Lytechinus pictus: one gene and its partners. The protein of the gene in region 2 purifies or fractionates together with the protein of the main gene of each other region. This does not show direct contact. Links are inferred from orthologs where the notes say so. Each region holds a gene or a part of one and is shown on either strand. Other genes may lie near its edges.

Evidence for each region.
Region 1: the proteins of AP-2 complex subunit sigma (region 2) and epidermal growth factor receptor substrate 15-like 1 purify together in Homo sapiens (affinity purification with mass spectrometry; 4 studies listed by BioGRID and IntAct, counting the BioPlex papers as one, with this or other methods). This does not show direct contact. The link is inferred for Lytechinus pictus from reciprocal best matches to the Homo sapiens genes AP2S1 and EPS15L1.
Region 3: the proteins of AP-2 complex subunit sigma (region 2) and F-BAR domain only protein 2-like purify together in Homo sapiens (co-immunoprecipitation; 3 studies listed by BioGRID and IntAct, counting the BioPlex papers as one, with this or other methods). This does not show direct contact. The link is inferred for Lytechinus pictus from reciprocal best matches to the Homo sapiens genes AP2S1 and FCHO2.
Region 4: the proteins of AP-2 complex subunit sigma (region 2) and BMP-2-inducible protein kinase-like purify together in Homo sapiens (affinity purification with mass spectrometry; 4 studies listed by BioGRID and IntAct, counting the BioPlex papers as one, with this or other methods). This does not show direct contact. The link is inferred for Lytechinus pictus from reciprocal best matches to the Homo sapiens genes AP2S1 and BMP2K.

Annotation. Positions count from the first base shown.
Region 1 is NC_087255.1:17,855,202-17,863,476, forward strand, and holds the start of epidermal growth factor receptor substrate 15-like 1, read right to left. Parts: upstream 3,369-8,275; 5' UTR 3,340-3,368; coding exon 3,313-3,339; intron 1-3,312. Other genes in the region: glutathione S-transferase P-like, read left to right, coding at 3,462-3,544, 5,264-5,484, 7,851-7,985.
Region 2 is NC_087251.1:7,257,638-7,265,190, forward strand, and holds the start of AP-2 complex subunit sigma, read left to right. Parts: upstream 1-4,118; 5' UTR 4,119-4,519; coding exon 4,520-4,624; intron 4,625-7,553. UniProt on the Homo sapiens protein: Component of the adaptor protein complex 2 (AP-2). Adaptor protein complexes function in protein transport via transport vesicles in different membrane traffic pathways.
Region 3 is NC_087255.1:23,487,788-23,495,382, reverse strand, and holds the start of F-BAR domain only protein 2-like, read left to right. Parts: upstream 1-4,161; coding exon 4,162-4,166; intron 4,167-6,360; coding exon 6,361-6,435; intron 6,436-7,595. UniProt on the Homo sapiens protein: Functions in an early step of clathrin-mediated endocytosis. Has both a membrane binding/bending activity and the ability to recruit proteins essential to the formation of functional clathrin-coated pits.
Region 4 is NC_087262.1:11,854,180-11,861,660, reverse strand, and holds the start of BMP-2-inducible protein kinase-like, read right to left. Parts: upstream 3,138-7,481; 5' UTR 2,527-3,137; coding exon 2,470-2,526; intron 954-2,469; coding exon 848-953; intron 1-847. UniProt on the Homo sapiens protein: May be involved in osteoblast differentiation.

The DNA of each region.
Region 1 (8,275 bases), on a different chromosome or scaffold from region 2:
GCAGGCAGCAGCACTGCCAACTTTGTAACACAGAAATTAAATCAATCAAACATTTTTATTTTATTTTATACCCTTTTAATAAAATCCAAGGCTATGAAAGGACAATGTCACTCATATTGGCTTTTTCAATACGAGCTTTCTGGAATGTATGCAAACAAATTGTTATGAATATTTTTTTCAAAATAAGTATAAAAAAAAAAAATTTGATATTGTTCATTTTATCTCGAAGTCCTAGGAATGATATATCCAATGACCATCTCACACAAGTTTTTCTTTAAGTTTTAAAATAATGAACAAGGTATATTTTAATTTTCAATCATCTAATATTTAATACATCATTTTGGAATTGGTATGTATTTTTTTTTGCATTCTATTTTATTATGTTTTACTGAATTCCTATTTAAAATTGCTTGATAACTATGTCACATGTACCTATTTAAATTGTAATTGTTGTTTTTTAATACCTATGAATGACTTTGTACACCTTTTGGCTGTGTAACATATTACTTTTTTTTTAATGTAGAAAGTTATATCAGCTCATCGATCCGAAATGACCTTCGATTTTAGCCAAGAAACCTAACAGTATACTCTTGTAAATTGTAAACAGTAATTGATGATTCATGTTAAACCAATATACATGTATCCATGTTCACCTTATAATGAAGACTTTGATTTCAAAATAATACAGTGTATTTAGAATTCAAGATCTTAGCTTTTCATTAGGTTTGAAGTTGATACCAGTTTACTGACCTCAACCTGACATCTGACCTTGGTCTAGTAAACTAAAATTACCCTCATCCATTTGGCATTTGCTGATACTTGTGATCATGAAATGAGGACTTAAAACTTTAAGAGGTGATTAGTCTTCATACTTCCATAACTTTCTTAATCCTTGTTCACATTTAAAATTGTCTTCTTTGATATTTTTGTACAACCTTGCTTGGATTAGACCTTTACAGGTAGATTTCTTTTATAATAGAGCACAAGTTACATGTATTTTGCATACAGATAACGATGAGCTTTAATGAAGTAATGCACAAGCAGCTGTGTGATAACAGCCGACTCAAAACAATTTGTATTTTTTCAAAATCAAGATGGATTGCTAAACTGTAATATTCAGTGTAATGAAAATTCAAATTTCTGAAAAATAAACAAATTGGTCTTTAAAACCTGTGTGGTTCTTCCTTAATCCCCCTCCCCCGAGCATAAAACAAAACACAAGCATCAACACATACATGTTCAATACAAATAATTTCAAATAGAAATACAACTCATGGAGAATTTGCATTCAAACCCATTTAAATTTGAGGGGGTGAACATATGCAACTTGTCATTCACAACAAAACACAAGCATCAACACATACATGTTCAATACAAAGAATTTCAAATAGAAATACAACTCATGGAGAATTTGCATTCAAACCCATTTAAATTTGAGGGGGTGAACATATATGCAACTTGTCATTCACAACAAAACACAAGCATCAACACATACATGTTCAATACAAAGAATTTCAAATAGAAATACAACTCATGGAGAAACATATATGCAACTTGTCATTCACAACAAATCCCTTTTCTGAGATGTTTACAAATGTACTTGGTTACAATAAAATATCATTCGATATAGGAAACCTTTTCATTTTTGCTGCATTAAAAAACATCCTTTCTCCTCTTCTTCTTTTTATCCTCTTCATCTCCTTCTCCTCTCCTTTAATCTCCTAGGAGATTTACACATAAAAAATGAGAATCACCTCTTCATGTATTTATAAGTTAGCATTCAAATCAACTGAAGCAGGATTTTATTATTATCTATCTTCTTTTTCTCCATACAACCTTCTCTTTTTTCATTCAAACAATTTTCCAGAATTCTATTCCATTATGAAGAGTTTAACACATACATGCTGTTGAGATTGCAGACAAAATTAAAATGATTTGACCAATTCTGTAGTCAGCAGCATCAATATTACAAACCAGTGCCACCATAGGGTGGCCAACCCAGTGGGCAGCAACATTGGATTTAAAATTAACAAAATATCATAATTACATTCTAATATTACATAGCAATACATGTATTTAAAGATAAATGTATATCTCAAAAGTCATGTCAAAGTCTAAGTCACATGAACTTGTCAAACATGGTGATCAAATACAGGAAGGCAGGATACAAATAATACAAGTAAAATTTTCTGCTTGTACATCAGAACCCCAGACCCCGGTGAACCTTGTATTACTGAATGCATAAAAAATAATTGCATGTGAAAACTTTCCTTCCAAAGCAAAAAAGGGGGAATTCAAATAGAAAGACAGTGAAAGATGTCAAAAGCATATTTTCAGTCTTTATTTTTTTTAGATAACAAAGTCAAAGAGCTGATTGATCAGTGATATTGTTGATTTTCAAACTTTTTGCACAGAAAATACATGTTTGCCTTTTCAAGTGAGCAATACATTTCAAATGGGAAGAGGGGTGCGAACGGAAAATGATTGTAAGAAGAAAATTGATTTTGGCTAATTTTTACATCTTATATTTTATAGAATCCATGTGTGTAGAGTTCTATTTGTGGTGAAATTTTAATATATTTATGAGAAATTATACTTTGACTTAAAGTAACAATTGAATGATTTCATCTCTATCTAAAGTATCTTCTTCTGACTTCTTGCAATGTATTTCTTTTCCTCCTCATGTTTCTACTCTTTCTCAAAATAAGTCAAAGCTCCCTGCCCTCTCTTCAATTTTCTCCTGCTCTGTAGATCTACTCCTCTTCCTTCCCCACCTCTTTCTAAATCTCTTCATCCTCCTCCTCTTTTTTCTCCTTTCCACCCTTCTTCTCCCTCCTCTTCTTGTTCTGCTTCTTCTTTCCTACATGTATCTTCTCAAGTTCTCCTCTCTCCTTCCTTTCTTCTTCTTTCCTTCTGCTTAAACAATACAATACACAAAAAGGTGGTCTGTACTAGAATTTAAACAGAAGAACGAGGAAAGAGCCAGGTTGACCTGAAATTGGCTGAATTAGGGTGTGCGGTGGACAAAGAGTGGGCAGGGCAGGTTTGCTGCCCACTGTCCGTCGGCCACTACCCCGTGAGTTCTCACGTGAAATCCGAACAAACGACAATCGCCTTTATTCAGCTCAACTCGCTCAAGAGACATGTGACGTCGAGATTTAAGTAACAATAACATTTATATAAGTATACATTAATGGTATTTAGCCTCATATTCCTAAAATATAACAATTCATAAATTGGTCGATTCCTCTTAATATTTATAATTCAAACTATATATTGAATAAAAAACAACTTTAATACTCAGTATCCTACCTGGCTGATCGACGGGAACGTAGCCATCTTGATCGCTCGGTCAAATTAATAAATGTGTAGCAGCGCCAGCTGCGGTGGAATCTCTACAGTCAGGCAGAATTGAAGTTGAACAACTTGGGCTCGGCTTAATTTAAATCATCAATTTGACCATGGATGGGCTCCAGTTTGGCGCTATAATTATTGCTGCATTAGGCACTATTTACCTCACGGGTAAAAGTGGTATGATGATGCGGTAAGTAAGTTACTGAGCTTAGTAAACTGGTTGCCCGAGTCGAAGGGTTTAAGATCCGCAGACTTTGTTGGAGCGCAGATTCAGTGCAGCTGCAGCCAGGACCGGCCCGGAGACGTTCGAGTTAGACACCGTACACCACCAGCTACCGAAATACCGGTACCACCAGCAGTACAGCCAGACAGCTCGGGCACAGGCCACAGCTCAGGCCATTGCCATTGGCCACTTGTAATTTAACTTCATGCAAAGCAATGTCATGTCAATGAATGCAAAAGTTTTATGTAGATCAAGCTTAAGTTAGTTGTTTGTCATGTTTGTTGGGATTAACTTAGTCTTACTCTTAGTCGGGATTACAGAAAAGATTAAAACTTAAGTTAAGCCCCGCTACCCTAGACCAAACCTGCCAAAACCAAAAGCTTCGGTCTCTGTTATGTTGGTTGTTCAGCTGAACTCCGTTGGCTTCACTCACCAAATACGAGGAGAAATAAACAAATTAAAAAAAGTTAAAAACTCCTCGAAACAGACGGCTGCCAGCTGTCTACCGCTACCCATGCCATGTTTATTATTTTTTAAACTGAACTGAAGCCATAAAATTGAAATTGAAATACACGTCTTGGAGTTGGACTTGATTGAGAACTTGGGTTCTGAGACTGACGGCGTGTATGTCATAGATCTGGATTGGTGAAAGTTGAAACTGCGAGGTTTAAATTCAAACTAAACTTTCTAAAGAAAATAATTAGAATAACATGACAAGTTATGCTAATTGCTCTGCATAATTGTTATTGTGACGTGACGTGACATCACAGACAAGCAGCTCTATTAATAAATTCCACAAAATTGTAAACTAATTCATTTTCTTAATAAATCGATTTTGAAATTTTTAGGTATATTGGTATTTGTGGATATTTCATCATATGCCTCCTATAAGAAAATAATTCTTTTAATATTTCATTAACCCTTTGCGCGCTGATGTTGCAATCTAACACATCCGTACAATTACTTTCAAGTTTCAACAATCGTAATAATTAGTTTTAGCTGCTCATATATGACTTCACAAATTAAAAACTTCACACGCTGACTAGATTTATCTCTCATTCTTCGATGGATTTTCATCATCCCTTAATACCATTAACAAACTTGTCAGCAGGGTCAACTTCCCCTTTATTTAATTTTGTTTACCTTTACAGATCTATGGTATGTGCTTCATAAACTTAAGACAACAGTCAAATCCCTTCTAAAATAGAGAAATCAATAGAACTTTATTTCATTTCATTTTAACAAGTCAACAGAGGTACTAAGGGCTGAAAATAAAATCTAAGTAAAATAAAAAGTAAAATTCACCAAGCAAAATGCTGAAAACTTTAGATAAAAGTTCAGCAATATTTTATGAAAACTGTCAGATACACACCTTCATAAATATTCATTACATGGGCTAATGAGCTACTTTCCTTTTTCTGTATTACAAGAAATAATTATTTTATATTTTCATACATCTGTGTATGATGTCTCCCTTGTTAGTTGTAGCATTTTGACTATAAGGCAAAAGAGATTTGACCATGCATGTGATGATAGCACATCATTTCCACTTCTCAACTTCTTTTTTTTTACTGGAATACCAGATTCTGATTTTTGAAAGATAAATCTAAATCCTGCTTTTATTACTCAGCCATACTAATTGCATGTACATTCATTCCAAAGACTTTTATTTCTCTTCAAACTTAGAAAACTTCAAGAAATAGCTACAGGCAAGGCAGGATGTGTGCCGGCCGAAGACCTTGGTTTTGTCACCATACACTATTTCGCTGGTCGAGGTCGAGCAGAAGCTATTCGACTCCTGCTGAAGCAAGCCAATGTACCTTATAATCAGACAGACTTTACCCGAGAAACTTGGCCTGAAGCCAAGAAAGCAGGAGTAGAACAAGGCCTATACACCTATGGACAAGGTAATTTCATATTTTCCTCCCCCACCGCTTAACTCCATTCAGCATCAAAATGTTTTGATATTTTTTGGAACTCATATGAAGGGTATAAGGTGCAATGTGAACATGTTATTCTCAAAAGATCTTTGTTATTTTATTGTCATTTTTTAATATTGGTTAACCCTGATGTGTCTCCAGGGCTCGACTTTAGCGGGAGCCCGGTGGCAATTGGCTCCCTAAAACCTTGGCGGGCTCCTTAGAAAGTAAATCAAAATGCCCGGCTTGCTCCTTAAGTTTTTCTAGTATCAGCCAAGAAAGTTCATTCATAAAAACAGTGAGTGACCTCGTAACTGTCAACATTGAGCCTGTGTTGCTTGGTTACAATGGTATGTCCCCATGGCAGGGGTCATTGTATGAGCCCCTTGGGCATTCCTAGTGCCTGTGGCTGAGTTTGATGTAAACAAAGATGTCTATTTTGAAATAATGGATGAGATGAATGTCGATTTGAGTGGAAATTGAATATGCAATGAAACAGATTGAGCAAAGGATGAAAATATCATATTTTGCGAAGGTTCTGAAAGAAAAGTGTATTCCTAGTCAGTGGTTAAATGCATTTTCAATAGTTTTTGTCATTTATTTTCCTCTCTGCAAATGATATTAATTATTGCTTGCTCAATCTGTTGAGCAATATTGAAGATTGAATGAATATAAATTTGAACAGACAAGCTAGGAAGAGTGACTTATCCTGTGCTATATCTCATTCTGATAAAACCTGAAGTCCAATGTTAGACTGTTACTGTAGCAAAAGGGCTTCACAAAAGTCAATTGCTGTAAGATTAATTCTTCAGTTCAGTTAATCCTCACATTTACTTAATAATAATACACCTGGTATTGATGATTATAAAAACAAGGAATTGTGTTGGTGTGTTTTAATACTGACCATTGTTATGACCCCCAAAAAAATGTGATAAACTTGGGCTCCCTGAACCCCTTGCGGGCTCCCTAAAAAAGTGGTTGAGGAGCCCGGCTGGCTCCCTAAAAAAAAAGTAAAGGTCAGGCCCTGGTCTCTGATTTCAAAATGATGATAAGATGTTGAGGAGATGGAATGCTTATCATCTACTTGTATTGTAGTCTTGCAATGAGTACTGGGGGATGTTTCACAAAGATTTAAGTATCACTTAGAGTCGCACTGAAATGTCTAGTTGTGCGCGGTACAAAGGCATGCCCGCATTGGTCAGATCCTGCCAAAAGGACGGGCACTACTGCGTATTGATCAATAAGATTGCGCGTTGCATATCATGTACGCGTCTGTATTTAAGTGCGACTTTAATAAGCCATACTTAAATCTTTGTGAAACACCCCCCTGGTCAGGTTAACCTTTGGAAGAAAATACCATTCTGTTAACACTTGATAGGTTCCTTCTATCATAATGGAGAATTTTGTTTTAAAAGGAGATTGTGACCAACCATCTTAAAACCAACATTAAAGAGAAATTCCAGTATTTGCAGTAAACACTGATTTCATGAGAAAGTCTGTAAAACAAGGCTTAATTGTCAGTATATCATCGAGGATCTAGATCTGGTACAGTTACATAAACTGAACTTTGTGAAATCTTGAAATCTACGCTGAAAAATGTTCACACTGAAGATCACCAACACAGATAGGCACACGTGGGACAGTGTATTATTATTGCTAAAATAAAGACCCGACGGAAGTGACCGAATCCGCGCTTATTTTGCTTATTTCTCAGCAATTACACAATTTCTTCCAGAATCCTTTGGCACATATTTTTTATTCATACAAACAGACACTTAGGTGGTCATTATATTAGATTCTGTAAAAAGTCATTTTTAGATCGTTACCAAAACTGGAATTTATCTTTAAGTCGCCCAAATTTAATTTTGAGAATTTCATTGAGCTTGAAAAAGCACATCCTAAGCTTTGAAACAATAACTTGTCAAATTGATGAACAGTAGCCCATTAATATACTTGATTAAATGTAGAAAAATCCATTGATGATTCAAAGAATAAGGAGAAATCAAGGTTTGAAGTTTAGGGTTCACTCAAGCATGAGATGTGCACTCTGTGTGATCTCTGTGAAACTACCAAGCAGTTCGGAAAAAAGAAAGTGTTGTATATCATCTTTTATATCCTACATAATTTAAATCATGTATGCTGATTGGTTTTAGCATCACATGACCAAACATATGCTCACTCGTTTGTGATGACGTTGAAAATGAAACGCCCACTGAAGAAAAATTGCTATTCCGTGATGTCAATGATGGAATAGTGCACTATTTTTATAGCTATTTTTATTAGTGATCACTTACACCCCGCCCGCTACATAGAAAATAACATTGCCTCTTCATACACCTCTCTTTCCTATGTAGTACCTGCTATTTTGACATCATCAGGTGTATCTATGGTCCAGCAGCAGGCCATCCTTCATTACATTGGTAGGGCTACAGGAATGGACTGTGATTGTGAAGATCTCCATCGCTGTGAGGTTCTAGCTCAAGGAGTTGGTGAGTTGGATCCCAAAATTATTATTATTATTGTTATTAATTTATTCGGCAGATAATACAAAAATACATTTCAGTATTAGCAATACAAACTAAGAAATATCAACCATTGGAACGCCAGGGACAGTAAAAGTTAACTGAATTCTGTGGCATGAAGCCTACCAGTACTGTCCCAATTCTAATGGTTGATTTACAATATATATTAAAGGTCAAGTCCACCCCAGAAAATCGTTGATTTGAATCGATAGAAAAAAATCAAACAAACCTAACGCTGCAAATTTCATCGAAATCGG
Region 2 (7,553 bases):
GAGTAACTCAATAAGCTCCGTCAATAGTACAGTCTTTAAAGGAGAATGAAACCCTTGGAGCCAGTTAGCTTTTGTGAAAGCAGAAAAATCAAAGAATAAGATCAACAAAAGTTTGAGTAAAATAGGACTAGCAATAGAAGAGTTATGAGCATTTGAATGTCGAGATCACTAATGCTATGGAGATCCTCCCATTGGCAATGCGACCAAGATCTATGATGTCACAGATGAACAACTCTCTCCTTTTGGACACTGAAAATATACCCCAAAACATCTCTTTTTGCTCATTCTAATCATATGACAAACGATTCATCAATGATATAATGTTGTGAAACCTATGTACTTGTCCTCTCATAAAGAGAACACCTCACCTTGTGATAGATAAAGTGAGAATATAGGTAAAATAAGTACTAAAGTAATGAGGGAGTTGTACGTGTGTGACATCACAGATCTTGGTCGCATTGCCAATGGTAGGATCTACATGGCATTAGTGATCTCAATATTCAAATGCTCATAACTTTCTTATTATTCATTCAATCTTCCTCAAACTTTCAACAATATGTTTATATCATTGATGAATCGTTTGTCATATATGATTAGAATGAGCAAAAAGAGATGTTTTGGGGTATATTTTCAGTGTCCAAATGGGAGAGTTGTACGTGTGTGACATCACAGATCTTGGTCGCATTGCCAATGGGAGGATCTCCATAGCATTAGTGATCTCGACATTCAAATGCTCATAACTCTTTTATTGCTAGTCCTATTTTTCTCAAAGTTTTGTTGATCTTATTCTTTGATTTTTCTGCTTTCACAAAAGCTAACTTGCTCCAAGAGTTTCATTCTCCTTTAATGATCTTTAGAATGTTTGCCACAAATTAGTGAAAGATATTTGTTGAAATATTAAAATTGGGATAGTTTTTATTGTTTGAAAACAAAGTGCGTAGCTTTAGGTCCCCCCATCATACAGTCTTTAAAAGTTTATGGCGGGGTCCGCTATCACCACGAGGTTGAAGAGAAGATTTATATCATTATAAAGGGGGTAAGAGAGTAGCGCAGTGAGCTCCGTCGGTAATACGACCTTTCAAAGTTCACGGCGGCATCCGCTATCACCACGAGGTTGAAAATAAAATGTATATAGGCCTAATCATAAACGATGTAAGAGAGTAACGCAGTGCTAGTGAGCTCCGTCGGTAATATAAGACCTTTCAAAGTTCACGGCGGCATCCGCTATCACCATGAGTTGGAAGAGAAGATATCTATCCTCTTAGTCTTATACATCGCCATAGATAATACCGCGTCTTTCTCCCTGAAAAATTAGTAGAACATGTATTGTATTTGTAACGTCGTTAGAAACAAAAATCATACCATGATTTTTTAAAAATCTTATCCAAAAAATAGTATTAGTACCGGTATGGCCTAACGTTAGGCTTCATTATAAAAATATTTACCAGTATATTATTATCAATATTAGGCCCTAAATCTACTTACATTGTCAACTCCATGTTCAAGCAGCCGCACGCGTGTTTTGGAATCTTCAATGTGAGGAGCAGCCATGATATGACTGATGATGGATGATCGGCCGACTACAACATAGATCTGTGAAACACGTGCTCGAAGATACGCACCAGATCAGAGCAGCGGATCCTTGCTGGGTCTACTACCCGATTGAGGCCGGTGTAGCGGCGGATTTGGTTCCACCGGCGGATACCGTATCCGCCGGCAGATATCGTTCTTAATGGCCGATATCGTTTTTAATCGGAACCATATCCGCCGGGTTTGACGCGGCTTGATGTTTGCAGATTTGGTTCCTCGGCGGATTTGGTTCTATTGATTATACGTGTAATATTGATTTGGACAGACAACCTCGGCAGCGCGCGCATGCGCGGCTCGGCAATGTCGATCGCAGGGGGGGATTTTCGTCCGCCTTTAGTGAATTTTTATTCAGGGGCGGATCCATACAGCTTTTGACAAAGGGCTCGATGGGGGTGAGGATTAATAGGAGAAATAATGTCTCGATATGTATTACGTAGACCTAGCTGACACACCATACAACTATGCTATTTATTATTATAAGATTTTGATGAAATTTTCATCATTTTGTTTTGTGAATTTTTATACTATTTTCAGTCCGCAGTATGCATCGATCTCTTTAACTGTGCTTTTTCACACCATGTTTAGTGTCAGTTTGCCAGACTGTTTGGCGAAAATTTGCACCCCCATATAGGCCTATAGGTTTTTGAAACTACAAATTTTTAGAAAAATTTCAACAAGTTAAAATTTTCATATTTCAAATAAATGATTCAAATTAGTGTATGAAAATATTTTTTTTGCTGTTAACTCATATTATTGCTTGTAGAATGCTAATTTTTGGTGAAAACAAAATTTTTTTATTTCTAACAAACATAAAAGGAATGTCAGAACATGATTAATTTCTTATGTAGTTTATTGAAGGCCTATCTTTAAATTTTCATGTATTTTTTTTAATTTGTTTTTTTTTTTATTCTTTTTTTTTCAATGTTAAGGAATCTGAATTAATTTATTTGATTTGATTTGATTTATTGTTTTTTCTGCATCCATGGAACATTCGTATAATACATTTTCCATAACATAATAAACATAATATTATGTTAGCATTTTTGGCATGAATCATAAATAAAGTGTACTAAAAAAATTATTCCAGACAAAAATGATTAACTAACAAATTATTATATGATATTCACAATTTGCAGGAGAAGGATTGTCATCATAAGCAGATTGCTTGAAGAAAAATGACAATCCCAAACTAAAACTAATTAAATTAATTTATGCATTTATAAAGCAGAATTGGCATATATATTTTTAAATACGAAACATCAACTCATGCAATATTTTTAGTATGAAGATGAAGATGATAAAGGTGAGGGTGACGGTGATATGATGATGATGATGATGATTGAAGGGGACCGGAAGATCACCCTGACAAAAGTTAGATACGCCACGTACTGTTTGGTGCTCCCTAATTTACCTCTCAGTCATCAAATTTTAAGATCAATATGGGATCTTTAGTGAAATATAATTTCTCCTTTATATCTTTTGTTTCTTTTACTTAACTCCTCCTGGTTTTCATCTCTTTATTTTTTTTGCCTTTCTTTCTGTCCCTGCTCATTTCGCCCCTTTTGCCTCTTTTCCAGTTTCCTATATCGTTCTTGCACATTATGAATATATCTGGGGCGTATACGCGAGGGTAATATAGCACAAAAAATGAGAAATATAAAGAGGAAGGGGAGGGAGAGAAAAATAGAAAAAATATACGAGAAAATGTGGAGGAAATAATAATAATACATTGTAATTTCGTAATTCAAGAATTTCATTTGCAGTGATCATTATTTATACAAATTTATACAAATACTGATTTTAATTATCGAAACTGCCATTGTTTGTCTTTATTTAATACTCTGTATTAATCATAATTGATGCATATTGTGCCCAATTTATCCCCAAAATTGTGATAAGAAGGACTTTTCATACTGCAATAAATTAATAGGTATAAAATAAATTAACAAATGCATGTTATTAGACTACAAGCATTATCATATCATGGGGTAAATTCTTTGTATACTAGTAGTGCAGTAGACATTGAAAGTTGAATGAAGACTAAATGTGGACTATTTAAAGACCCAGACCAAACCCCAAAAGTTGACAAATCAGTCAAATCGAAAGCTATTAATTCAAACTAAAAACAGAAATGCAAGTTTTATGCAGTCATCGCTTACAGCTGAATATTTTGCTTAAGAATAACTCCAATTATCAGGTTTCGAAAATATACTTTCTTGTAAATATGCTTTCACCGGCCTCGCACCGAGACCGTGACGTCATGTAGTGTTAGAAGTGGTGTAATTCCCGTAGAGTTGTAACAAGAAAATGGGTTATTTTCCCCTTTCAGATTACGCATTTTATTTCTTCACTTCTATCACATAGAGATATCATGAATATATTTTTCTGCAAGCTTTAATTGATGAAATCTACCGCTTTTTGACTAGTTTTCTCGTACCACGTGACGTATGTGAATGAAGGATATCGCAAGAACGATATCTTCCGAAGAGAGTGGCCTTTCTTGGTACTGAATCCGCCGGAGGAGAACCATATCCGCCGGCGGATTTGGTGCCTAGAACAGTATCTGCCAGGCGCAGGATCCGCCGGTACACCGGCCGCGCCGGGGCCAAGCGCTTGAACTAGCTTCCCGGCTTCGCTAGTGCTCGCACCGGCTCGCACGGTAGTACACCAGAAAGGGGGAGGGGGCCGGGGCCGTGGGGGGGGGGGGGGAACTCGGAGGCTGGGAATTGGATAGGAAGAGTCCATTATATTAGAGGTTAAAAACTTCCAATGCAAAATAGGCATCTATTTAAAAGTTATATATTTGATTGATGATAGCAGGTATCTTCGACTGCTTAACTACTAAATGTATCGATTTTGTCATTCTCAAACTAAGGAGTAATATTGACACTAGTAATGTAGATTATTAAAAAAAAAAAATCATTTTCGCATGGTACAGAACCGTACCGTACCCCATATCAAAGTAATCAATCACCTTTCCATTTCCGGACTGATTCCGAGACGCCCTCCGATTGACAGAGCAGAAAGAATAATGGTAATTGTCTTCTTTTGTGGTAGTTTTGGACATTACAAAACATAGTTTCTTGTTTGATGTCGGTTAAAGTTATTTTTACATTAATTTTAGTCCAAATTTGATTGCTCTGTTGAAGTATTTGCCAACTTTATTTTCCCCGATTTTATTAAATGGCCCCACACGTTCGATTTTGTGTAGCCTACCTAGCCTGGAGGCTTCTGGATCTGGGGAGTAAAAGTCATCTACTATATGTAGGCTTACTCAGCCAGGCGGCTTCTAGAGAGTAAAAATCATTTACTAACGTAAGGTTACTCTCATACGAAGCCAGGCCTTCTATCTCATAGACCCACACAAAGCTAGGAAGCCAAAACCTGAAACTTTCACCCACGAGATTTCTACTTTCCTTCTTCTAAATCTAAGTTCTAAAAAGATCTAGCTCTAAGTACAATAAGAAACAAGATGGCGGCGTAAACATCGGGCAAGTCTCTTCCGTCTTTTCACAATATTTTTTCATTTTTTTGATGAATTCTTGTTTTAAAAATAACAACGAGAGCGTAGAAATGTCGGAAATGAAGTTTTATCCCATTTACATGATTTAGAGCTAGATCTTGTTTTAGAAGGAAAGTAGGAATCTCGGGGGCGAAAGTTTCAGGGTTTCTTGCGGTACACGCAGATGAATGGGGAGGACTGCCTGGCTTCGTATGAGAGTAACCTTACGTTAGTAAATGATTTTTACTCTCTAGACATGCTAGAAGCCGCCTGGCTAGCCGAGGGATCATTCCTCTCTGTAGAGGCTAGGATTTCCCACGGTTACAGTAGATCTAAATCACAGATTGTATAAATCGTTTTGAGCCCGAACTAAAGTAAATGGGCCAAAACAATATCCCCCCCCCCCCCGAATTAACCCAGGGAGCCCAGGGGCTTGCCGTGTATTTGACCATACTCACGGGACTAGGGTGATTTATGGTCTAAATATTTCTCCAAATGAATTGTGAAAACAGAAAGTATACAATTACCACGATTATATGGATGACGGTAAGTTTCCTGACATCTGGGCAAAGACTGGAACCTCAAAAAACGAAAAGTTCTCTCCTTCTACCCCAGTCTCGATCGGCCATTTTGTTACGATTTTTAACAAAAATGGCCGATCGAGACGGGGGTAGAAGGCAGTGGCGTAACAGGCGGGGGGGGGGGGGGCAGGGGGGGGCAAGTTGCCCCCCTGGTGGATTTAATCGCGAAAATAAAATAAAAACGGGAAAAAGAAAAAAAGGAGGGAGAAAGAAAAGGAAAGGTATAGGGAAAAGGGAAAAGAAACGAAGAAAAAACATTTTTTTAATGGAAAAGGAAGGAAAGTGGGAAAATGTACGAAAGAACATTTGAGAACAAATCATTCTGAAATACGCCTATGTAATGCAAAAGCACGGTGGGAAATAAATTAAAAGATGACAAAATGGCAAACAATAGGGGGAAACGAAGGTAGAATGTAATTAGTCAAAAGCTAAATTGGAAAACAAAGAAAAGGGACAAGAAAAGAAGAAAGAAAGATGGACTGGATACAACGTTGTGCTATAAGCTTGCTAAATTTTATGCAAATAAGCTTCCGGGGTCTTGCTCCTGACCCCACGTAGTAAGGGCTCTTCATTTATAACCTTCATATAACGCCCCCCGTTCATCCACGTTCAATAACCACTGGCATACCGGCGCGGAGGGGGGGTCTTGGTTCCACACCCAAGAGGAAATAAAATAAATTATAGGAGACAACATATAATGAAATTAATGGAACCAATGAAATGTGTTATTTGCTGAATATAATGGAAAAATCTATCACATAATTATAATTTAATTTCAATGGGCAATTTTTTTCCAGCTCGCTTTGCACACTGGCGACTTTTTATAAATTTTTCCCACATTGCTAAGTTTTGCCCCTCAAAACATTTGGTTCATCACGCAACTGGGTTAAATAAATGTGTTGTGTAAAAGCTACATTCTGTATATGCCCGCGATTTGATTAAAATGGCGGCAATCTGCGAGGTTTAAATGGCTTTGATATCAAGAAGTTCTGGGGGTTCCGCCCCAGACCCCAACCGCACAGTACTGCGTATGGAAGGGTTGGGCCATGGCCCCAAAAATTTTTACAGACAAGAACAAAAACAGGAGGAAAGAAAATCAAAGGAAAAGTGTAGTATATGATTTAATTTACTGAACTTAATGTGAAAAAATAGCTCAAAGTTAGATTCTCATGAAAAGGTGATTTTTTCTCGCTCGCTTCGCTTGCTCGGGACTTATAAAAAGCAGCTTTTTAGCACATGTGTTATACTGCGCCCCTCACATTTTTTTGGTTACTCTTCACGCTACTGCCGCAAAGAATCATGTTCACAGTGGCGTACAGACCACAAAAATGGAATCTAAAGAGAGAAGAGTAAAATATATTATTTTCTGGATATCATGTCAAAATCTATAACAAAATTGGATTTTTGTATCAAAAAGCTCATTACACCATTACGCCTGTTCATACCATGATATGACCGGGAAATTTTGGGCTCTTGCCCCCCCTGGCCACCGGTAGAAGGAGAGAACTTTTCGTTTTTTTGAGGTTCCAGTCTGTGCCCAGATGTCAGGAAACTGCCACTCGTTAGACCTTCATCCATATAATCGTGGTAATTGTATACTTTCTGTTTTCACAATTCATTTGGAGAAATATTTAGACCAAAATCACCCTAGTCCCGTGAGTATGGTCAAATACACGGTAAGCCCCTGGGCTCCCTGGGTTACCCCCGAATTTGATATTTTTGATTAATTTTTTTCTCAATAAATAGTGTGAAATTTAAAGAAATTTAAGAGCACGAGAGTTCACTTACCCAGTCTGTTATGGTCGCCATCTTGAAGTCTTTGTTATTGATACCTAGATACCACACGCGTGTATAGCCGCCAACTTAGATTTTAAAAATAC
Region 3 (7,595 bases), on a different chromosome or scaffold from region 2:
CTTTTACCTCATGAAGTATTCTGTCCATTGCACTCATAAACATTCATTTTTTGTATAATATACACAGAGAAATCCCTACCTACAGTATACCTTTAAAAGTACTCCAGAATTTTGTTTTAAGTGGCCAACAAGTATTAAAATATCAATGAACATTCTGATAAAGATCTGAAGAGCACCCACTCTTCAAACCAATACCTGTTTTCATGTACCATTTACAATGTATGCCTACTTGTACATGTTATTTACTCAAAAGGCATTTATTGTTATATTGACTTAATATTGACTTCATAAAATACTACAGAGAAAAAAAATCACGATCAGTTTTTATAAATGAGATATTGACAAATCAGAATGCATGTGAAGAAGATCGAATCTTATTTTTCTTTTGCATCAATGGCACAAAACTCACTTGGCAAACAGGCATACATTGTAATGTCATATACTATACAGTGCATGTACATGTACATGTACAAGTAGATCAATGATCCTGTGCATTGCCATTGAACAAAAGTGCATATTTAGGAGAAGAGCGAAAAATTGCAGACATCGTACTATAAGGCCCTGCATGAGTATTAAAATCTTCAGGCTTTATATTTACATGTTTGTCCTAGTATGCATGTACAATCTTGTATATTAAAATAGGCAGTGCATCTTTCTGATAAAAATTCAGGAAACGCACCAAATGTAATTTTCAGTCTTATTGAAGAGCGGTCTCGTTCGTTCGCAGACGAGTTATTTGTGCATGAGATAAGCTTAGGAGTGAGTCACTGTATTAGCACTGACAGACACAGTCAGCAAGAGAATGGCCTAGACGCAATTTCTATCAAACAGACAGAGAGAATTATCATACATGTATAAAATGTCATGTTGAGAATACCCAATTTCTGTGATAATCTAGACGTGTATATATTACAAGCAAAATGTCCAAATATTGTATATGTGTACATTGTACACACAGTGGCTTAAATGTACGGTATTCTAATTATTGACAATAATTTTGTGAAAAAATATGTGAGTTACTATTAAAGATGTTCTCCAAAAATGGTGTGAATTACAATTAAAGAAACAAAAATAGCACTAGATGTACTCCTTTGAAAAGAATGTAGGTTCTCAGAAAACCCATTGTAGCATCTGTAAAAACACAACAAAAAACAAACCAAAAATGGATGCTTCACATTATTTAGATATCAATTTAAAAGGTCAAGTTCACCCCAGAATAATGTTGATTTGAATAAATAGAGAAAAGTCAAACTAGCAAAACGCTGAAAATTTCACCAAAATCTGAGTTAAAATACATGTAAGAATTTTATGACATTTAAAAATTTTGCTTATTTTTCACAACAGTAATATGCACAACTCAAATGAGACAGTCGATGATGTCCCTCACTCACTAATTTCTTTTGTTTTTTATTGTTTGAATTATACAATATTTAATTTTTTTAAGATTTGACAAGGGGACCAACTTGACTGAATCATATAGTATTAAACAATGCTCATTCCACGTGTTCAAGGAGGAATTAGTCTTTGTTTCAATTGACAATGAGGAGAAAAAAAGAATATTCCATATTTCATATAATAAAATACAAAAGAAATAGTGAGTGGATGACGTTATCAATCTCATCATTTGCATACTCACCAGGATGTGCAATACAAACTGTTTTGAGAAATTAAGCAAAACTTTATTAAAAATGTCATAACTTTCTTATTTTACGTCCGATTTTAATGAAATTTTCAGTGTTATGCTTGTTGGATTTTTCTCTTTTTATTGAAATCAACTTTTTGTTGGGGTGGACTTGTCCTTTAAAGTGAGGTGAAATAATATTTATGTAATTTATTGGTATACAGAGTTAAAAGGATTGATTTTAAAAGCTGTTGGTGAATCAGACCTGTTTAAAAAAAAAAACCTGTTTGGGGTTTCAATCTTTACTTTAGATCTGTCTGGTAATACATTAGAACAAAAATCCAGATTTTACCTGACATACACGTAGCTATGATAAGAAACAACATTTTTATTTGATTGTTTTGTTCCAGGCTTATTTGCAAGAATTGAAATAAATAGGAAATTTTTATTGATTGAGAGTATTTTCAAGAAGTTGAAAATGTACGCTCTACTTCCAATTTTTAAATTTCATGTTCTTGGCACTTAGGAGCGTGAGTTTGAATCCATTAAAATGGGCAGTTGCCAATCTCAGACAGAAAGCATTCCTAGCTTTGTTCGAGTTTGATGGTACATAGGCTATGTAATTGAAGTTTTATAGTATCTCTTGCAAGGAATGGGGTTAAATATGGGCTTCATAAAACTGAGACACTTTAAAAAAAAAAATCAATAACCGCAAGTATCACCTAGTCCGCAGGCACAGACCCTGATTGCAACTTTGATCAACAAGTGTGCCAACACGCAGACTAGCACATATATACAAAACTTGCTGTTCCTGAGTGAGAGGGCCTTCAGTACATAAGGCATGAGTAGGCTGCACATTCAGACCCTTTACTCGAGTGAAGGGTTTGCACAGCAGACTAAGTATCACCCACAGGGCAAGATACTAGAAAAGTGAAATTAAAGCCAGTATACACCACAACCACTTCAAACAACACCAGCTCAAGACCAAAATTGGATCCTTACCCAGGGTGCAATGTTTTGATGTGTTTTCTATTATTATTCATACCTGATAAAAAAGGAACTTTTATCTTCTATTTCCAACATTCATATTACAATATATACCAACATGTACATGTATGCCAAAAAAAATGCATTTATATGAAATTAACATTATAGTATTTATACATGTAATTTTAAATTCTTGACTCAGTCACTTGGTTGAGAAAAAATGCAGGTGAACTTGCATAATTGACCTTTCATATTAAAGTCACAGAAAAACTTAATAAAAAAATGTAAGACAATTCTGTAGACCAAATTACTAGGCAAAACATTATATGTTATAATTATATACAGGTTTCTCGAATTGTGAATAGATTTGACTTACTTTATACTAGGCAAAGTTACCTGTTGATGTAATAGACCCCGAAGTGTAATATATCTTTGCTATTGATCAGAGTATAAAAGGAAGTTGTCCTATGTTTAATAGGTCATGTGATAGATCTAGGTCGTATAACACAAGTCTCATTAAAAGATATCTGATACAGATATAAAGGTAAATAAAGAAGTGTGATGACGTGAAGATGTGTTTAGACTCCTCATGAAGACATGATGATCCATACATGATAAATACAAAGTTACAAACTATAATAAAAGAAGAGTCATGATAAGGTGTGTTCAGACTCCTCATGGAGACGTGAACCATATCGTGCAATAAGTACAGGCCTGCCAACTACAGTAGTTGGCCTATGACTTTATGGTATTTCATATACATGTACTTTTTGGTGAAAATAAGTATGAATAATAAATAAAATGTGAACACATACTTGTGTCTTAACCAGATATTGTGGTTTTATTATGTGGGCTGTGAGACTTTCCCACTTCCTTTTTTTTCATTTCACCTCCCTGCTATGATAAAGTATCTTTAGTTATCTTTCACGTTACATTGAGCCCAAATTCTCTATTTAGAAATCCCTGGAAAAGTTCTCGTAGTTTTGAATATTTACAGACTAAATTTGCCAAGTCAGATCTTTTGGGACCAGGGGGGTGTTTCACAAAGATTTAAGTATGACTTAGTGTCGCACTTAAATACCGAGTTGCGTACGGTATGAAAGGCTTGACCGCATTGGTCAGATCGTTGCATATCATGTACGCGTCGGCATTTAAGTGCGACTTGAGTCATACTTAAATCTTTGTGAAACACCCCCCAGGAGGCCGTTTCATAAAACTGTTCGTAAGTTAAGAGCAACTTTGAGAACGACTTTCGAACCTTTCTTTCATGCTAAATAATCACTAAATGAAATTTAATGTTGAAAACCACAAGAAATGATCACCAGTCATTCTTAAAGTTGCTCTTAACTTACGAACAGCTTTATAAAATGGCCCTTAATTTGACTGTTCAGAGAAATTTTAAGAATAAACACAATTTTTGTATGATCCAGTCCAAGACATTACTTTTGACCTGGGAGAGAATCTGACTTTTTAAATGCAAGTTTATCTATATGCCTACTACATGTGTTCTGCAGGTTTAATTTTCTTTTTAGAACATTTGCAGTAGGGCCTACATGTCGTTTGTTTTCTTAATAGTGCCCCCCCCAAAAAAAAATTTTGTATTTTCCAGAATAGGTTAGTGTGAAAGCGTCACGTCACTGTAGACAACATACATTTTTTTAAATTAGCTTAAATCTTTCAAATTGGCCATTTTTTTCATGAACATGAAAGTAATTTTCAACTTGGTCCAGTGATCACCCAAGTGACAGTCCTTCAGCATTGATTACTCTTGACCAGTATCTTATCACAGGTAGCCATTTTCCTCTTCCTTCTCCTCAACTTCCTCCAACCGCAGACTCGTTGGAACTCCATTGAGCAATAAACACAAGGCAATTTCCTCACTTCTCGGGATGTGATTAGATAGAGATATATGATGATAAGAAGAAGCGGAAATTTGGGATTGCTTTATTCGCCTCGTTCTGTATAAAGCTGGTAGTCAGTTCAATATCTCTACCATTTTCGGGCAAAAAAGGTTATTGTTGGGGGAGGGGCAAGGCTTATTGGTATTTAAATCCATTACAACATCTTGAAGACCTCAGCTTGAATCTGCAGGGATACCCAACTGATCATATGTCATAGCCAAAGGCTTTGCCAGGTGCAATATTCTTTCATGTATTAAAGCAGGAACATGCCCCGATTTTCTGTCAATGGTCAAAACAGTTGGAATACAGTTCTTTAAGACAATTTCCACACTAGAATGTGAATCATGAGTATGTACATACACCCCGCGTCACCACACAGCTGTTGGAGTTGAGCATGACAAAATACTTTTTGAAATATTTGATGTAAAATAATATCATATTCAGACACACCTTCCATCTTTTAAACATGATGGAAAGTGTTCTGCTACTTAACTCTTCTGTATTGTTTGTGTTAGTTCAGATTTTATACCCCTTTCATAAACCCAATTATGCGGCTAATAGCAGCATAATTTGGTCGTAAAATCGGAGGAGGACCAGAGTTATCCGCATTATTTTTATGCTGCAATTATCCGCATAATAGCGGCATCGGGACCAGATTTTGACTTTATGAACGCATTTTCAAATAATGCGGATAATTGCCATGGTGCGGTCACAAGGTCACCCTTTTCCAACACAACCTCATCGTAGGTGGCGTGTGCAGTTGTCATTACGATTATCCGCCTTTTTCAGGACGGGCGCTCGTAAAAATAGTGCGGAGTATTTTCGGAGTTTGTGAACGCAATTTTTATTGAATTATCCGCATTACTCTTAGGCGGCTAATTGGAGGATGGGTTTATGAAAGGGGTATTAGTCATGGCGATTTGAAAGCTGTTTATTACCTCTCAAAATATGTGTACTTGTACTCATGATTGTACATTTATGATATGTACTTATCAGCAAAAACTGAATTAGGAGGAATTCACCCCTGCTGTAAATAATTGGACTTTGATTCATAAAAAGGGTACATTTGACTCGATTTTGAACAGGTACATGTACATGGACATTTTTCTTTTTTAGTTTTTATGCTGGAAATGTCAGACAGGATGCAAATCTTCAGAATACTATACACTGTGACTCTTAATAAAGGAAACCAAAACACAAGGAGAGAATCCATCTAATCAGAAAGAATGAATTGAGAAGAGCAATCTAAAACTTGTTTCATCAAAATCGGTTATAAAATAAGCGAGTTATTGAAGTTTGAAAAGTCTTGTTCTTTCCATGGGGATCCTCAAATTGGCAAACATGCTTCAAAATGGCTGATTTTGTGGACAACTCTCCATTCATTTTGTTCACAAATTGTCAGATTCTCCTCTTTATTTGACATATTTCACATTATTTCCTCCTGACCTTGACATGATACGATGTGAATTATATTTTCCCATGACATATGTTATGCTCAGAAGGAGGCAGATGCAATTTGAAAGATAATGGGGAAAAACTGAAAACTTGTACACAAAACAAAAAGAGAGTTGTCCACAAAATCTGCGATTCTGAAGCATGGTGGCCAAGTGGATCCCCATAGAAAGTACATCAAGACTTTTTAAACACCCATAACTTGCTTTTTAATATTTTATCACCAATTTTGATGAAACTTGTTTTAAATTGATCCTCTCATTTTACTTTTTCCAATAAGATTGCATCTCTTCTTGGGTTTTGGTTTCCTTAAACTGAAATATATCGCCTATACCATAAAACCTTGACTCCGTCAATTCAATTGATTTATTTTATTTTTGTTCTATTTCTCCTATCAAGGTCGCTTATCGAGGATACGTACCACAAGAGTGTCAGCAAATTGGCTAAATCTACCAGTAATTATTCTCAGCTTGGGTAAGTGAGTGCAACGGTTAATTGTGAGCCCTTGTCTCCTGTTTATGATCTTTGCTAAGAGCCTCGTAATGATGCCGCTTCTGCTCCTTTCCCTAATTTATTTGTAAGTCATGATAAGCTCAGCCCTGACGTGGGTTAATTAAAAAACTGTTGTGGAGTTTTCTACTAATTTAATCATCATTGTTTCTTTGCAGAGCTCGAAGCCTAGAACATCATTTGTTTTCAGTGAAGGTGTATATTAGTGAATTCCCTTTAAGCACCATGTAGCAAATTATTTCATTATCCCATATAGCGTAAACATCAGTTCCATTTTGAAATTCGTAGATTAAGTTGTTAATACCTGAGTTGAGTGTGGTTTAACCTGTAACTAAAGTTATGGAAAGTGCACCTAGTAGTTTATTGTATGTCATCTAGTAAAAACTATAGAGCAGCTCTATGTTGATGCTTCATAATGATGATGATAATGATGGTAAAAATGATGATAATGGTATAATGATAATAATATTACGCATCATAATGCATGTAGGTATCATCTTTTACAAGGCGCACTATTAGTATTAATCCCCAGCTTTTGCTTGAGCTGCTACATTCAGCGCTCAGTGCATTCTAGAAGTTAATCCTGCTAGGTACCCATTTACCTCTCCTGGGTTGAGTGCAGCACAAATTGATAAATTTCTTGCTGAAGGCTGGAATTCAAACCCTCGACCATCTGTATGTGAACGTCGGACCATGTGGCTACTACACCTCCAAATGCGCACACATGTTCATTTGACTTTTTAAAATTCACTCTTCTGCTGGTAACCAGGGCCCTGTCTTACAAAGAGTTACGATTGATCCAATCTATCGTAACTCTATGGAAATTCATCAGTGTCATAATTTTATTCTACAGGAAATTTGCAAAAAGTCATTTGTAAACAAAGAGAAGCATAGTGAATTTGAAAGAAAACAATGAATGCATGAATATACATCATAGTTAGAAAATATTTGAGCAAACATGAATAATAGATGATGACGTTGCTGGCCGTCCATAGTTGTGATTGATCAGATCAATCGCAACTCTTTGTAAGATGGGGCCTAGATATTCAACATTGAACCCTACATTGTACCTACCATTTTTTATGAAAGAAAATAGGTCATTTGGGTTGGAGCAATTCTATGAC
Region 4 (7,481 bases), on a different chromosome or scaffold from region 2:
TTTGTACGTCCAACCCCCATTTTCTCAAGTTTTATTTCACTTCATAAACCGACCAAGTCATGGTCATTTGAGAGCATTACAAACTGTCAAAAGAACAAGAAATCAGAGACAGAAAAATTCTTTAAAGTCCCACATATAGGGAGTCGGACGTACATATTTTATGGAATTGCCAAGGTACAGTTTTGTTACCCTTGTAAATTATAGGTCAAAGTTTCAGTTTTTCCAAAGTAATTTCAATACAAATTAGGTCAATTAAAATATTTATTTAAATTGTTGAAATAGTGCACCACATGGATGGATCTAGCTTTTCATAAATGGCAGGGGCGTGAATATAGTCGATTAACTTCAGAAATTTCTGACAAGTTGCTACACGCCCCCCTAAAAAATTATACGAAAGTAATGATAAAAAGTAATAGGCCTCATCAGTGGCAGACCGTGACCCGGAGGAGACAAAGCATTGGAGGGGCACAGCATTGTTCACAAACAATACAGTGCCCCTCCAATCATTGTCTCCTCCGGGTCACGGTCCGCAACTGGGCCTCATTATAAGGAAAAGTAATGATAAAAATGAATATGAAAAAATACTAAACGATATGAAATATACATGCAAAATAAAACATGGAATACACAACCTTCCAAAAGGATGCAATTTGTCAACCCGCAAAAACAAATGTAAAAAAGGAGGGCCATACTCGCATAGAAAAGAGTCACTCTTGACTATGTACAATTGAATTTGTTAAAACAATAAACCACTCTTTTTTTATGATTAAAACCAACCTGTCAGAGTGGACTTCCCCCTTTAATCTCCCACAGCAGGTAAGGTAATAGCAAAAAAAAATTGGCTTACCTCTACAATACTCCATCAAAATGAGGACTTCATAGACTCCACTGTTGCTGCGTGTGATGCTGGAATCGACATAGGGCACAATGTTCTTGTGACCCGACAGTGTAGACTAGATCAAGAAATAGAGAGAGAGAGCCGGAGAGAAAAATAGAGATGGAAAGAGAAAGACACCAGGAGATATATAAACATACATATCCAGAGAAAAAGCGTGAGAGTGACAGAAAGATATAGAGAGACAGGGAAAGATATAGAGAGACAGGGAAACATATAGAGAGACAAAGAAAGATATAGAGAGACAGAGAAAGATATATAGAGACAGAGAAAGATGTAGAGAGACAGGGAAAGATAGAGAGAGACAGAGACAGAGAGAAGGGTGGGGAGGGAAGAAAAACAGTTCAGGTTTCATGAAAAGACATTTCCCAAGATACCCAGGCTCAAGCTGTCCTGTTTGCCTGGAAGCACATACTAACAGATTTGCGAAACATTAATAGGCAACCCATTCACACTACAAGAAATTGAGGAGAAATTTATAAAGACCGAGTTTTGATGTACAATGTATGACTTTATCGAGCAAAGATATACATGTATCTGACGAAAATCAAGTGTGATTCTATTCAAACCCCCCCCCCCCCCCCGTTACTTCTTTCATGATGGCAGGTTTGTGGATTTTTTTTCTATTGATCCAAGAGTTTTTGCTCAGCATACAGTATAATAAAACATTCAGAGTAAAAGCAGTTTTGTTACGATAGCTTCTCCCTGAAATAAACATGTGGGTATAATAATAATTTCTTCATGTAATGATCAAGACTTGGAAATCTTTCAAACAGAAAAAAAGCAGTACAATTGAGGCCAAGAGTTTCATACACCCAGGAAATTCGAAGAAAAGTTGACACTTGCCAAACATCATAAAATTTATTGTATCTTACATGTATAAAATATTTGTGCTATCATGACGAATTTCACTGAATTCCATGGGTACATGTAAACTTTTGTCCTCAACTGTACATAACAAAATATTGTTAAAGTTTTCATAAGTTTACAAGAAAATTTTGAAGGAAAAAAAAAAATTATACCACGCTACACACAGTGTACAGGTAATCTCTGTGGGGGAGACTTTTTAAAAAGCCATGTTTGAAGAGTGTGGAACAGAGGATCTCTCATACGAAATGTGTGTGTAGTATTGCAAGATTTATATTTCATTTCATTCTGAAAAGATTTCATCAAAAATTTATTCAAATAAAAATCAAAATTTATACCACCTTCATTTTTTTGGGCTCAATGTACTGTCTGATTGCATATACATGTGCCTTTCAACTGCGCAGAATACTAGGGGGCAAAACTGTGTTTTGTGGTAAAATTGATTGTTCTATCATAATCGAATTAGTGCAACATGGCCCCAAGAATATGCACTTTTATGGTAATGGATTTTACTCGAGAGAGAGAGAGCAAAGGAAGAGAGAAATAATTTTTTTTTAAAGACCCGACAGTAAAGGCGTTTTCATTGAATTACATACATGTACATGTATGATATTGTTTTCACATCTTGAAGATGAGGAATCAACCATACTTTATGTATTATTGGCAGAAAAAAATGGAAGAAGAGAGGCCAACTTCTCCTTTCTTACCATGATCTTGATCTCTCTCTTGCAGACGACCAAATCCTGCTCGTTGTTGACAAACATCCTCTTGAGGGCGTAGTGTACTCCATTGCGACCTTTGACCAGGAAGACCAGGGCAAACCCACCTGCAGAATCAATGAAAAAGGGATAAAACCCTTTAATACTTAATGAGTAACAAGAAAACTGAAAACGACATCGCTATTAAAAGAAAGGGAAACTTTGTACTCATTTTTGTAAATGGAGATATGAATTTTTTAGAAATTAAAAATCCTATTGAAACAAAAAAACAAATCTTATTTGGGGCAATTACATGTACACACTATCAAAAGTATATGACTCATACTTCAAATAATCTGACTTTTGCTTTAATTTTGCTAATTTGAAAGAAAAAAAAAATCTTTTAAATCTATTAAAATCTTACTGGTTGGCTGACCTGGGCCCCGTCTTACAAAGAGTTGCGATCGATCCGATCAAACACAACTATGGACAGCCAGCAACGTCAACATCTAAAATTGCATGTTTGTTCAAAATATTTTCTAGAAATGATGTACATTCATACATTCACTGTTTTCTTGACAATTCAGTATGCTAGTTGTTTTCAAAAGACATTGAGTAAATTTCCTAAAGAAAAATTATGACATTGATGAATTTCCATATACTTGGGATTGATCGGATCAATCGTAACTCTTTGTAAGACGGGGCCAGTGCTCTGTACACACAAAACCAAACATGATCCGTACAAATGGTGGTACTAATATAATTTTTACCTGATGGCTATAAAAAGAAAACATGAATGCTTGCATACATGTAGCTACATGCAGCAATCAGAGAACCAAAGGCTTTTGTCCTGTCCGAGGGACCTGGTAATGATGGTAGCAGGGGGGGGGGGGGTACTTGAATAATAATTTGTTTGGATGTGCCTCACAAAACCTCAAAATGCAGTCTTAGAAAATGTAGGTATTGGGAACTATAATCTATTACTCAGAGAAAAACAGTGTCTAGGGAACTTCATATTCGTGTGCAGACTTCCAGGAAGACAGTATGATTCACAATGCATCTGTTATTTTCGGCGGCTTCTGTTTACAACTTACTGTATAAATCTACAATATTCACTTACATGTAGCTCATTGTAATGAATGGGGATTTTCCAGCGCTCTTTTTAATTGATTCGAGAGCTCTTTTTATTAGTTTCCAGGGCTTTTTTTATTATGTTAGGAGCTATATCGCTCTGATTTTCCCTGCAGTCTGTCTTTAGATGTTTCTGATGAAGGGCAAATAGAAGAAAGCTAAAATGCTTTTCCTGCGCTATCCTTTTGTTTCATCTCCGTCATATGAATTAATTTTGTGTTTTCTCTGAGCTTGGAAGCAGGCATTGTGTCACGTGAGTAAAGCATTCATACTGGCCTGGATAATGTGTGCATCAATACTGAACTACTGTACATTGTAAATGCATACTGTTTTTGATGTCCCAGGTATACAAACAATACATTGTACATTCCTTTTGTTTTGCCTCTGACTCTCTGTAACAAAAACATATTGTTTCACAGTTTGCAGGGGACGTTTACTACAGAAGTGGGATGCAGGCACTACAGTATATACCATGTACATGAATGTATGACCCCACCCCCACTTCAAGTTTGGCCTGTCTACTGTGCATTCCATGTTCTTTACTGCGCCACATTGTAAGCTGTCCCAGTCTAATAACAATACATTGTACATTACATTGCCAGGGTGGTGACTCATAACCGTATGCCACACACACAGGGTGTTTTCCTGAACCAGATATCTTCACTAACTGTATTATAAAAAAGATGACCTTCAGACATTGATCAGTTTGTCCATGTGATCTTGCAATATATTTGTAGATAGTGTGGAGATATTGGAGGATTTACATGTATATTATGCAACCAGCTTGCAATATTGCCCACGTAAGCCTAATTCAAAGACCTAAATTTATATTGCATCTATTGTAGACATGAAAGCCTACATCATACAGGGTACATACATGTACATCATGTAGTAATGTTTGCAGGGCTTGAATTATATAAGCCTAAAAAAATTGAAAGCTATCGATGGCTGTGGCCGCGGATACCCACTGACTGTCCTTGGAGATTTCTTGTGCCTTATTTTATTCCCCAACAATTGAATTTTCATTATTGAAATTTGCCTCGTGGTATTGTGGTAATGCCCTAAAAATATTGAAATCCCGTTTGTGAACATTACTATTCAGAAAACTTGATTTCCTAATTTCTTTCAAAACAATTTGGTAAACTAATAATGATTATGATACATGTAATAGAACAATGAATGCAATTGCACTACATGTACAAATATGTATGTCTCCAATAAAGTAACTTCTGAAAGTAAACAGAGCCTCAAAGCTTATTGAATATGTGCCGTTTCCAATGTTAATCCTTTTAAAAAGACTGAAGAAAATCTTTTAAGTGCCACTCTTCATGCTACTGTAAATGTGGTATGCATCTGTTGCCCTGAGCAGTAAGGTGCAATATTTTTACTATTCAATGCCTTGGTCAGTGAATAGCAAATTTGGTTAGAATATTCTGACATTGATCTTGTCCAGTGCACAATTATGCAGACAGATGTCTCCCCCTTGGCCACAAGTAAAGTATCTAGGATGCAAATCCTACATGAAAGCCATCAATACAGAAGAAAGGTTCTGTGGAAAGCGATTCAGTACACACATGCATCTTCAGTAATCCATTTTTTTCTGGATTTAGATTTACAGATAAAGAACAGAGTTCAGACAATTTTAGAGCTCACACACGTAGTACAATTGAATTAATAAACAATAGGCTACTTGTATCACTATGATTTTGAATCTATCCTAAGGCTCAGGATTTTCCTAAACATATTTGAGAATTATGTCTTTGTTCTAAATCTATTGGAAACAACCATGTGCCTGCCTATAATATATCTTGGCATTTTTATAAAATTGTTGGATAAATTTGAAAAAATATGTATTAAAAAAAATGTTTTATTTCAAAACATACATGTATATCTGGATTGGTGCTTTAGATTCATCCCCCCCCCCCAAAAAAAAAAAAAAAAAAAAAAAAATTGAGTGCATCTTTGTTTGGTCATTTCATGGAGATGATACTGTAAATTGCATTTTTAGACAATATATTATATGGTCATGGTGTTTTCTATTAAAAAAGTGCAACTTTAAAAAAGAATAAAGTGCTCTGTAGCTACATATCCACTGCTTTAAAGAGAACACCTGGAAAGGCTTTAAGGCACAACAAACCAGCTTGCCGGAGGCAAGTGAATGTGATGGGGGGACATTCTTTTTTTTCATTAAAATCTCAGATATGAGTTGTACATTTACATGTACCTCTGCTAAAAATAAGAAAATTCAGGTGTAGAGTGGTCCTTCCAAACAAGCATTAAACAAAAACAGAAGAAACAAACATGGATTTGTAGAGGCAAGGGCTTTAATTTGTTAAGTATCAAGTACTCAAACTTAATTGACACTATATGTTCGCTAAAAATTACCAAGAATGTATACAGTTTTAATTTGTCAGTATGTCAATACAGTTTGTAGCCTCCATGCATACGTACAATCATGAAAGTTCATCATCACTGTAGAAAATTTACCTCCTTATTTTAGACTATCCACTGCTGCCAGAATTTTAAAGGTACCTTATCTAATTTGTTGAGAAATTCACATGCAGATTATTTCTCGACACATTTTGTAGCCTGTCTGAGAACACATAAAACAGTACATTGACCTCATAAAATTTGCATTCATGAATCATTCAAAATTCGTGCACAAATAAACATGGTATACCATTAATCTTTGAATATACAGATTACGTTAAGGGTGCTTGTCATCATCTGTTTTGTGGGCCAATTAATCCTTTCAATCGCCTTGATTTTTCAAGTAAGAAGCTTGCAGGCTTCTGCCTGGAACAATTAAACTTCTCTTGCCAAATGTTCCATTCTTCTACGTATTGTCAAAGTCAGGTGCTACTGATCTGTATCATTTTTCTTCTTGTTTTATTCATCATGTATTAAAAAGTGCTTGAAGAATGGCTGTACATGTATAAATAGATTTTGTGTTTTAGTATATTTATAATGTTATGGTACGAGCATGCACATTCAGTGGCGTAGACAATTTCGTACACCTGGGGGGGATGACTGGGCTGCCAACGCTAGTGAGGGCGCGAAGCGCCCGAGCGAGGGAGCGAAGTGACCGAGCGGGGGGAGGGTGTGGGAGGGGGGTGTCGCCCCTCCCACGGTAGGGAGCTTTTGCAATTTTGAACTTGAAATCGTGCAATCTGATGCATACTTAATGAGGTAAAATAACACACACAAGCGCGCACGCACACACACACATACTCACACACACACACACCCTTACACACACACACACCCTCACACACACGGGTGCGCGCACCACACACATACTACGCCTTGAATGGACAGACATACATCGACAAGATCTACACACCGTGGCATACGAATACAGAATGGACTGACACATAGTATTGCATATTGAACCGCACTACGTATTTATTTATCTCTGTGAATTTTGCTGTTACACCTCTTCAGAAAAAAAACCAATGTCAACTGTGTACACGCAGGTATAGTCTTTGTTGTCTTGATATGGGTATGTGGTTATGAATGAAAATGCTCCATCACCCTCAACGGCACTTTCTTCTGAACAGGCCTATCTCCGACATCATCCGATTTTGATGTAGACGGCTGTTCGTCATCACGTTCTTCTTTCTCATTATGCTTGAAAAAAGAAGTGATCTTTGATGTTTTCAACTTCTTTATATGAGCCATCCTAGAATCCTAAAATCAATTCACGCTGTGAATTATGTAAGTGACACACTCACATGCATTTCCCCCTTAAAAAGTTAAGGACTCACCACGTGTTTTTGTTTTCTAGCTAACAGCGCGTCCCTTCTCTCCCCGCACGTAATGCGCACATAACACGGCGTACGCTCGTAATCCGCATCCCTGATTTTCAATAGCTTCTTTCACACGTTAAA